Linked DNA regions of Coturnix japonica. The protein of the gene in region 2 purifies or fractionates together with the protein of the main gene of each other region. This does not show direct contact. Links are inferred from orthologs where the notes say so. Each region holds a gene or a part of one and is shown on either strand. Other genes may lie near its edges.

Region 1 (4,422 bases), on a different chromosome or scaffold from region 2:
AATTCCTTCCCTAGTTACATCCCCTTCCACAAACAAATCGAAAACCTAACAAAGAAACCAACAAAGAAGTACCACCCGGGTACTTGCATTCATACTAACCTCAATAAGTGACAACTTTACATGCTTCCATTTCAATATTCTGCCTACCCAGCCTAGCTTTGCTGCTTCTAGTTCAAAATACTTCCTAACTCTGCCACACTTCCAAGTACCTTTCACACAATCTCTATTAGCACTTACTTTTTTCACGCTGAGTTTTTGCTCATCCTGTAGTGACATAAAGCCCATATGACCCCACCATTTCGGTTTCAGACACATACAGCCAACAGGACTTTGAATTCTTTTAATGTACAAGATTGATCACTCTAAGTTGTGCCTTACTGTTGATACACAGTAAATACATTCATCTGAACAGTTTGCTTAGCATGAAAAAAACACTAAACAATTAAAACACTAAAATATTACTCAACACTGTTAATGACACACGCTATAGCCAGGCACAGAAGAAGACTGTTTCCCATTAGTCTACCAGTGCATTCATTGCTGTGCGTCTCCATCAGCAGCTGTGTGTAACAGTAGGTTTTAGGTGAATGCTACTGCTGAAATAAGATTTATCAGCTCTCATCTTGGCTTTTAGTAGTTACCTTTCCAGAAGAAGTGTTTCTTCTTTCATTCATTATACTACAAACGTTTGCCCTCCGGAGATGTACTGAACAGAGAGTTTCAATAACATTCAAGAAGACTTAAAGATGATGCTGGAGAATTCTAGTCTACTGGTGCATGCAACTGTGAAAGTCGAGATAAATCAAGTAACATGTTTCTCCTAGATCAAAGGATCTGGGCACAAGTGTCATTGAACAAACAGCACTTGAGAGATGCATTCTTACCCCAAGCTTTAGATAGATTAATACGCACCACAACACCTAAAACTGATCAAGTTTAGAAAAATATTGTTAAGTCTTTCTTTACTTTTAAATCTTTAGTGTAACACAGCAGAAGACTTATAGTGAAAGATGCCAAGACCCACTCTGCTTTTTCATTCTGAAGAGTAGGGTTGTCAAAGCTATTAACACTTTTGACACTTGTTTGATACATTTTTTGTGTGTTAAACAATAAAGAGGCAGGATATATTTTTTTTTTGTTTTTAATTTCATGATTAAGAACAACTGAACATTATACTCATTGAAATCAACCCAGTTACATAGTTTTCATAAGTTAACGGCTGCCAAGTGTGTTCTTCAGTGACCCACCATGAGCAACATCATCTGATGGGTAAAACTGATTTTAAGGTTAGACATGGTATATGTAAAAATAGAAAGTTTAAAAACCAATCTTGTCACAGACATTTCCATTGCCAACTCCTACGTGAAATAAATAAGGCAGCAGATAACTTTTACTTTTTAGTGGCATCTTTGAGATACGCTATTAAATCTACTCTCTCAGACTTCTTCTTGATACCCGCAAAAATCATCTTTGTTCCTGGGATGTACTTCTTTGGGTTTTCCAAATACTCCATCAGGGTGTCCTCACCCCAAGTGATACCTGGCAAGAAGAAATAGACAAGCAGTGACTTCAAAATGAAATGAATATATATATTTTTTTCCTGCTCACTCATATTACAGAATCACAGAATTATCAAGATTGGAAAAGACCTAGAAGATCATCTAGTCCAACCATTACCAATACTTCCTGGCTAAATCATATTCCTCAGTGCCACATCCAAGCGTTTCTTGAATACTCCCATGGCTGGTAACTCCACCACCTCCCTGGGCAGTGCATTCCAGTGCCTGACTACCCTTTCCGAGAAGTAATACTTCCTAATGTCCAGCCTGAATATTATTTTTGCTTTCTGCAGGTTTCAGTACTTCTGACTATCCCCAAGAACCACCAGTAGCTCAGGAGGAGCTGCTTTACATTTACCTTTGTTCTTATTGGCATCTGTGTAAGAGAAACCCTCAGCTTGCCCTGTTTTGCGTCCAAACAGGCCGTGAAGGTTGGGTCCAGTCTTGTGTTTGCCTCCTTTTTCAACCGTATGGCACTGGGAACATTTCTGGACAAAAATCTTCTTGCCCTTCTCAATATCTCCCATCGTCGGTACTAGACCAAGAACACATACAGAGGTCAGTATCACAATATCAAGGTCAGCTATTCAACAGAAGCTTTAAAAAGGTTCACAGCGATGGGCTGTAGCTACAGTTTTGTAAACCAATCTGTGAACTCTGAGTGCCTTCTAGCCACGAGTTATAGCTCTAGGGTTTGAAGATTTGCATAGAACCATTACACTATTAAGGTGCCACGCTTTATGCCTGAAGAACAAGAAACACGCCTCATCTAATTCCCGCAGAGCAGGCCCCGCCGTGACCTTCCGCTGCCAGCTGAGGGATCCTCAAGGCCGCAGTGTGAGCAGGGTCAGAGCCGCACTGCCCCGTCCCTTATCGCCCCAATCCCGCCTAACGGCCGGGCCAAGTAGTGGCTCCAGACCCAGACAGCGCCGCTTGGAAATCAGGCCCTGATCACCCGCACACCCCGCCCGCCTGTACCTGCCCAGCCGGCCGCTCCGCTCACACCGCACCCACACAGCTGACTGCAGCTCCGACCGCCCCGCGCCGTCCGGCTGCTGTGCCCAAGGACACGCCGGACTCCGCCCTATGTAACCCGGTGTCGCTGCAACCAAACGGCGCCGGTACTCCACCCGCCCTCTGTGGCTCAGTAGCCAATCAAATGCAGCCTGCTGGAATTTTGATTGGTTGTAACATCTGTCCGTCAATGCTTACGTCACGACGTCGGTGACTAGCAGGGTAGGTTGCAAAGGCGGGCGCCGGGCTCCCTGTCCTACTACTTCCGGCGGAAGTCGTGTGGCGGAACTGCGCTACGTAAAGGGGAACGCGGGAGGGTCTGCGGCGCATGCGCACAACGGAAGGGGAGGTGAGGGTCACGCTCTGTCCTCAGCGGGGGGCGGGGTCTGGGCTGTGTCCGTGACGTCATCGGGGTATTCAGTGTCTCCCCGCTGTGAGGTGTTAACGTTAAACACCGCTACCAGAAGTAAAGTTACCACAATAAAACTGCTCTGCTTATGACGTGTGGGGACATTCACGGATCTCCAGGGCAGCTGAATGAAGAGATCACCTGGACTTGTGCCAGTGCTGAACTCCAGTCTGAAACCAGAGTCCCAGATATTATATATATTATATATGGAAGGATATTTTCAGTGCACTGTGACTTTTCTAGATGTAATAACTTTAATGTAATAACATTAATTGGGACGTTGACCTGGATGTGGTTTGCTTGGAACAGCTGTGTTTTAAGCTTTCAGTTATTCGCAGTGGTTGTACCTCAAACAACTTCATCTTTTTATTACTTCAGACCATTTCAGACTGGAATGATGATGATTTTGCAGTCAGGCTTATTGCAGTGTAATTTCGTTCTGAAAGAAGGGAAAATAGAACAAATATATATCAAAGTATTAGAGGAAATATAACAAAACATCCAGCCAGTTCTCTTCAGAGTTACACAGCAGATGAAAGAGCAAAGATCGCCATCTTGGGACTAGGCTGGAACTCAGGAGATCATGGTTTACTTCTCAGTTTTGTGATACATATCTTCTCCTTTTTTTTTTGACAAATATACCTTTTTCAATTGAAAAATGTGTTATTAGACTGAATATCTGGACTGCACTCAATGTATATTTTGCCATTATTGAAAAGATTAAAGTGTGATTTAACCCTGGTAGACAGGCAAGCAACCCAGCTGCTCACTCACTCTCCACAGAGAGGTGGGGAAGAGAATCAGGAAGGCAAAAGTGAAAAATACTTATGGCTTGAGGCAAATACTGTTTAATAGGTCAAGCAAAAGCTGCATAAGCAAGCAAAGAAAAATAAGGAATTAATTCACTGTTTTCCACCGACAGGCAGATTTTCAGCCGTTTCTGTGAAAGCAGAACTTCATCACACATATTGGGTTCTTGGGAAGACCCAACGTAACTCTGAAAATACCCCTTTCCTCCTTTTCCCCCACATTGTTATTGCTGAATATGATGACACATGATATGGAATATCCCCTTGGTCTGTCAGGGTTAGCTGTGCTGGCTCTGCCCCCTCCTATCAACTTACACACCGCCAGCTTGCTTGCTTGCAGAAGTGTCCTTGATTCTGTCTACACAGAAACAGCTAAAACATTGGCACATTATCAACACAGTTCTCATATCCAAAGCATAGCACCATACAAGCCACTATGAAGAAAGCAAACTCTATCCCAGTCACAAACAGCACTAAGAATAGACCGGTTGTATTGAAGTACTTTATTTGTTACTATTTTTAAAATACCAACAAATGCATCAGTTATGGAAATAGAAAGCATTGAAACCATAGAATTCATGTCTCCTCCCCTCACTAATGTTATCTCTGAGATCTTTTCTCTCTCCGTTGA
Region 2 (3,818 bases):
GTGCTCACAGACTTGAAGCTATGCCTGAGGTTCCCCCACAAATTACTTCCATATGCTAGTTTGCATGAAAATGATTCCCATGACTATTATATAACACTTTCTGTAAAGTGAATGCAAGAACCTCAAATAGCACAAAGTTACCAAAGGCTTCTTCAGAGTGAGGATTAAACTTTGTCTAGCCTCTTTCCTTCCTTTCAGTCTCAAAGTTCAGAATTACGTAGCTTGTACACAGTAACTAAAATGAAATCTCTTAACTCAGTGTTGGATTACTGTGTCCTCTCTAATAAAGATAAAAGAACAATTTGTGCGTTAGAGGCCACACACAGACACACGCACTTTCTAGGCCTACAGCACATACTGCCTTTTTGCTACCAAACCTTTCACTTGTCTGCTCAGGGAGAATTCAAAGCAGGAACAGTTACCTGAACAGTGTTCTCTTTAAAAAAAAGAAAAAAATAAATAGAAATCCAGCCTCTCTGATTTTTATTTTACTGTTCTTTTCTATTACTGGACATACTTGTGCTGTGAAATTCCACCCTTACCCACAGCCAGGTCTTCCTTTGTTCTTCCACTTCCTCTCCTTCCGCAGACACTTCACTTACATGGCTTCTGCTCTGAGTAGACATACTGCCTCATAGTCTGAGTACTGCCAGATTGCTGACCTGACAAATCTTTTGCTTTGATTTACTGTTATTCTGTTGGCACCTACTTTCATTTCTTTATTATGTCAAATCAATTTAATAAGAAAATATATCTGCTCCCCTTCCATTAGGTTATTTATTTATTCATTTCATCATTTGGCACCTATTTTTGTATTGTTTGTGGCTGTTGTTTGTTTGTTTTTATTTCTTTACGGTTTTTAATCAGGTATTCCATTCCCAGGCTCTCCCATTCCTATTCCCATCCTCTAGAAGTCTTCACCTTTGTGCTCAGCTAATAGGAAATATGCTGACTTTTCATCGCAAGTATAAATATTCCTCTTCCGTTCTGCCCTGTCAGTACTCTTGATCAGTTTCTGTCTCTCTTCCACTGGACTCATTATAAACCTTAATTTACAGAGTTTGAAGCATATTTCTACAACAGTAATTACTCTGTTTTGATTATTCCCATACTGCTTATCACAGCCTTTTCAACTTACTTTGATGTAAGTGTCATCTGAGCAGGTGGCTAAAAGATACTGACCCCTTCTGTTATTGAACTGGCAGCAATTGACCTGCTCTGTGTGTTCTTCATATACGTACAAACACTCGCCTGTTCTTGAATTCCAGATCTAAACAGAGTTGAAGGACAAAAATCAGCTTTAAATAAATTCAATGTACTTAATAAAAAATGAAATTTCTAAATCACGTTGGAATACAAATAAAGCCCTAAAAATGCTCTTAATAACACATAAAAATGCTTGAAGAGAAAGGGAAAACACATGTAGTTACATTTATTAACACACAGCTGTGATTTTAGATTGTTTTCACTAAAATAGCAGAGATGTAGATATACACATTTTTCAAAACAAGAACTGGAACCTGGCATCTACAGCCAAAGGTTCTTATAACAAGGTGTCTGCAACCAAATAAAACCAACTTGCTCTTGTCAAAATTCAGTTTCAGCCTACTATTAATTATAGAAAATTTCACAGATAATTTTGAACAATTTAAATATCAAATGGATGAGGAGGATCATAGTTTAGATCTGAGAAAGATTAGAATATCATCAAGATTTTTGGTGCAGTTCTGAAGAATTAAAAATAAAATGAAAAATAATATACAACAGAAAGCACTATATAAGAAAAACATTTATGGATACCTTCATTTTATGTTACACACAGGACTGGACTCATGTATTGTGTTTTACATAAAAAGAAACATCTGATAGTACAAGTAAAATAAGTTGTAATTGTGTATGCATGTTGTTAACATAAGTAAATGATGCTTAACATAACAAGTATGAGATCTTTTGTTTTTAAAGTAGTGAATTATCCACATAAGGTTTAAAACAGTTACTAAAAACCTTCTGTCCTAAGAATCTGCTCTGCCTGAGTTGGCTAAAACTGAAATCTGAATTATGATGATGCAAAACAAATAAGCAAAAAAGTCTCTTCTCCATTTACTTACCTTCACCTTTTTATCAGCTGAACAAGTTGCTACGTATTTATCATCTGCAGAAAAAGTGCAGCAAAGTATTTCATCATCATGAGCACTTATCTCCAGCAATCTCTCTCCACTTTCTGCTTTAAACACCTGAAAAAATACAATGAGGAATGAAATCTTTTAGCTGGCATACAACTTCAAAACATGCTACACAAATAAAGGATTGCTTTCTCTCAAAGAGCTCCCTTAGCTAAACTCTTCATAAAACTGCTTGCATTCTGAAAGCACGTATAATTTCAAGGAAAGTAATATGAAAACATTTAATTTGAACTTCAAATCTATAGAGATGATAGAAATTATTATGGAAAGAAATAGTGAAAACTAATTTAAAAAAAATCCGTATGCATTATGTGTTTTATTAATGACTATGTATAACCTTTGAGCCAAAAGCTAGGCCTTCTACCACATAAGACTTTTGTACTCCTTAAGACTAAATACATGTACTTTCTTACTCTACTTTAATAACTTCACCACACAATAGCTTATTAACAATATCTGCACTGTTATTAGAAGTACAAATTCCAGATTGATATATACGATATCCTTCTGTTGGATAAAGGATTTTAGCAGCAATTGATAATTAAGTAAAGGTGCTAGGAGTCTCTTTTGAGCTGGTTACAAGGCAGGAAAGGGTGGCAAGGAAGAAGCACTGCACATTAACCACTTTCCTTAAATTCTGGGGCTTATCTTAATGATGGTGAAAGGTACCTTTTCCAGCTCAAGGGTAAACAATCTTCAGCTGTTCTAACAAATCACAATTTGCTCTTTGCAGCAACATTCAAGATGCTACAGTCGTGAAATCCCTATTTTTCCGATCTTCTTTCATTAAATGGGATTAACAGTGATAATGAAATAGTTGGTATTTGTTCAAATAAAAGCGACAAAGCAAAAGGAAATCTACATCTACTGTAAATTCTGCAGAATATCTGCTCTTAATTTGGCAGTCATTTCTGCTTCTGGGTTAGTCTAAAATCTGAAGGCATTAGTTTTATTTTAATGTCACTGTTAGGAAAAACAAGATTAAGATCAAAGTTCAACAATGAAAAATGATTGTTAATTTTTGTATTATCTCTTCTAGCGTAGGCTCTGGGGAAAAAATAAAAAAATAAAATAAAATAAATAAAATAAAATAAAATCCCTTTTTTTGATAGAAAGTCAAGAGAAAAACAATGAATCAGCAGTCCCAATAATGAAGCCATGAAGTACAGAAGCCCAGCACAATAACTTCAGCACAGCCACCAAGCATCTCCTTAAGTGGGTGGATGCCATGACCATAACAGTGTAAAAGCCAGCAAATAAAAGAAAGTAGTAAGCACCACCACATTACACAGGCAAATGAACAGCAACTAAGGACCACTAATACTTTTACTTTAGCAAGCATCCAAAACAATACCAAAGGCTTGCAGAAAACTTGTTCTTTACCCTTACCTTTGGCTGTCTGGAATATGGATACTTTACCAGGTTAGTGGCTGGCTGATTGCTAGTTTTCCTGAGAGCTGTCTGGCTTCCCTCCAGGCAGACTGCTGGCAAATTTGTATTAGTCACTTCCTCTCTCTCTCCCCATATTCACTTCCTAACAACTGAATACCTTTTTCCAGTCTACCGCTGCCCTCAGCTTTCAGGACTCATTTTTCTGCCCAGATTTCTCTATTTTGCATGACAAAATTAACAAAC

Evidence for each region.
Region 1: the proteins of APAF1 (region 2) and cytochrome c purify together in Homo sapiens (affinity purification with western blotting; 3 studies listed by BioGRID and IntAct, with this or other methods). This does not show direct contact. The link is inferred for Coturnix japonica from reciprocal best matches to the Homo sapiens genes APAF1 and CYCS.

The regions. Positions count from the first base shown.
Region 1 is NC_029517.1:29,070,659-29,075,080, forward strand, and holds cytochrome c, read right to left. Parts: upstream 2,815-4,422; 5' UTR 2,538-2,814; intron 2,095-2,537; 5' UTR 2,087-2,094; coding exon 1,918-2,086; intron 1,540-1,917; coding exon 1,391-1,539; 3' UTR 327-1,390; downstream 1-326. Other genes in the region: C2H7orf31 (uncharacterized protein C7orf31 homolog), read right to left, coding at 4,331-4,422. UniProt on the Homo sapiens protein: Electron carrier protein. The oxidized form of the cytochrome c heme group can accept an electron from the heme group of the cytochrome c1 subunit of cytochrome reductase.
Region 2 is NC_029516.1:42,521,450-42,525,267, reverse strand, and holds part of APAF1 (apoptotic protease-activating factor 1), read right to left. Parts: intron 3,665-3,818; coding exon of another isoform or gene 3,599-3,664; exon of another isoform or gene 3,573-3,598; intron 2,235-3,572; coding exon 2,109-2,234; intron 1,271-2,108; coding exon 1,139-1,270; intron 1-1,138. UniProt on the Homo sapiens protein: Oligomeric Apaf-1 mediates the cytochrome c-dependent autocatalytic activation of pro-caspase-9 (Apaf-3), leading to the activation of caspase-3 and apoptosis. This activation requires ATP. Isoform 6 is less effective in inducing apoptosis.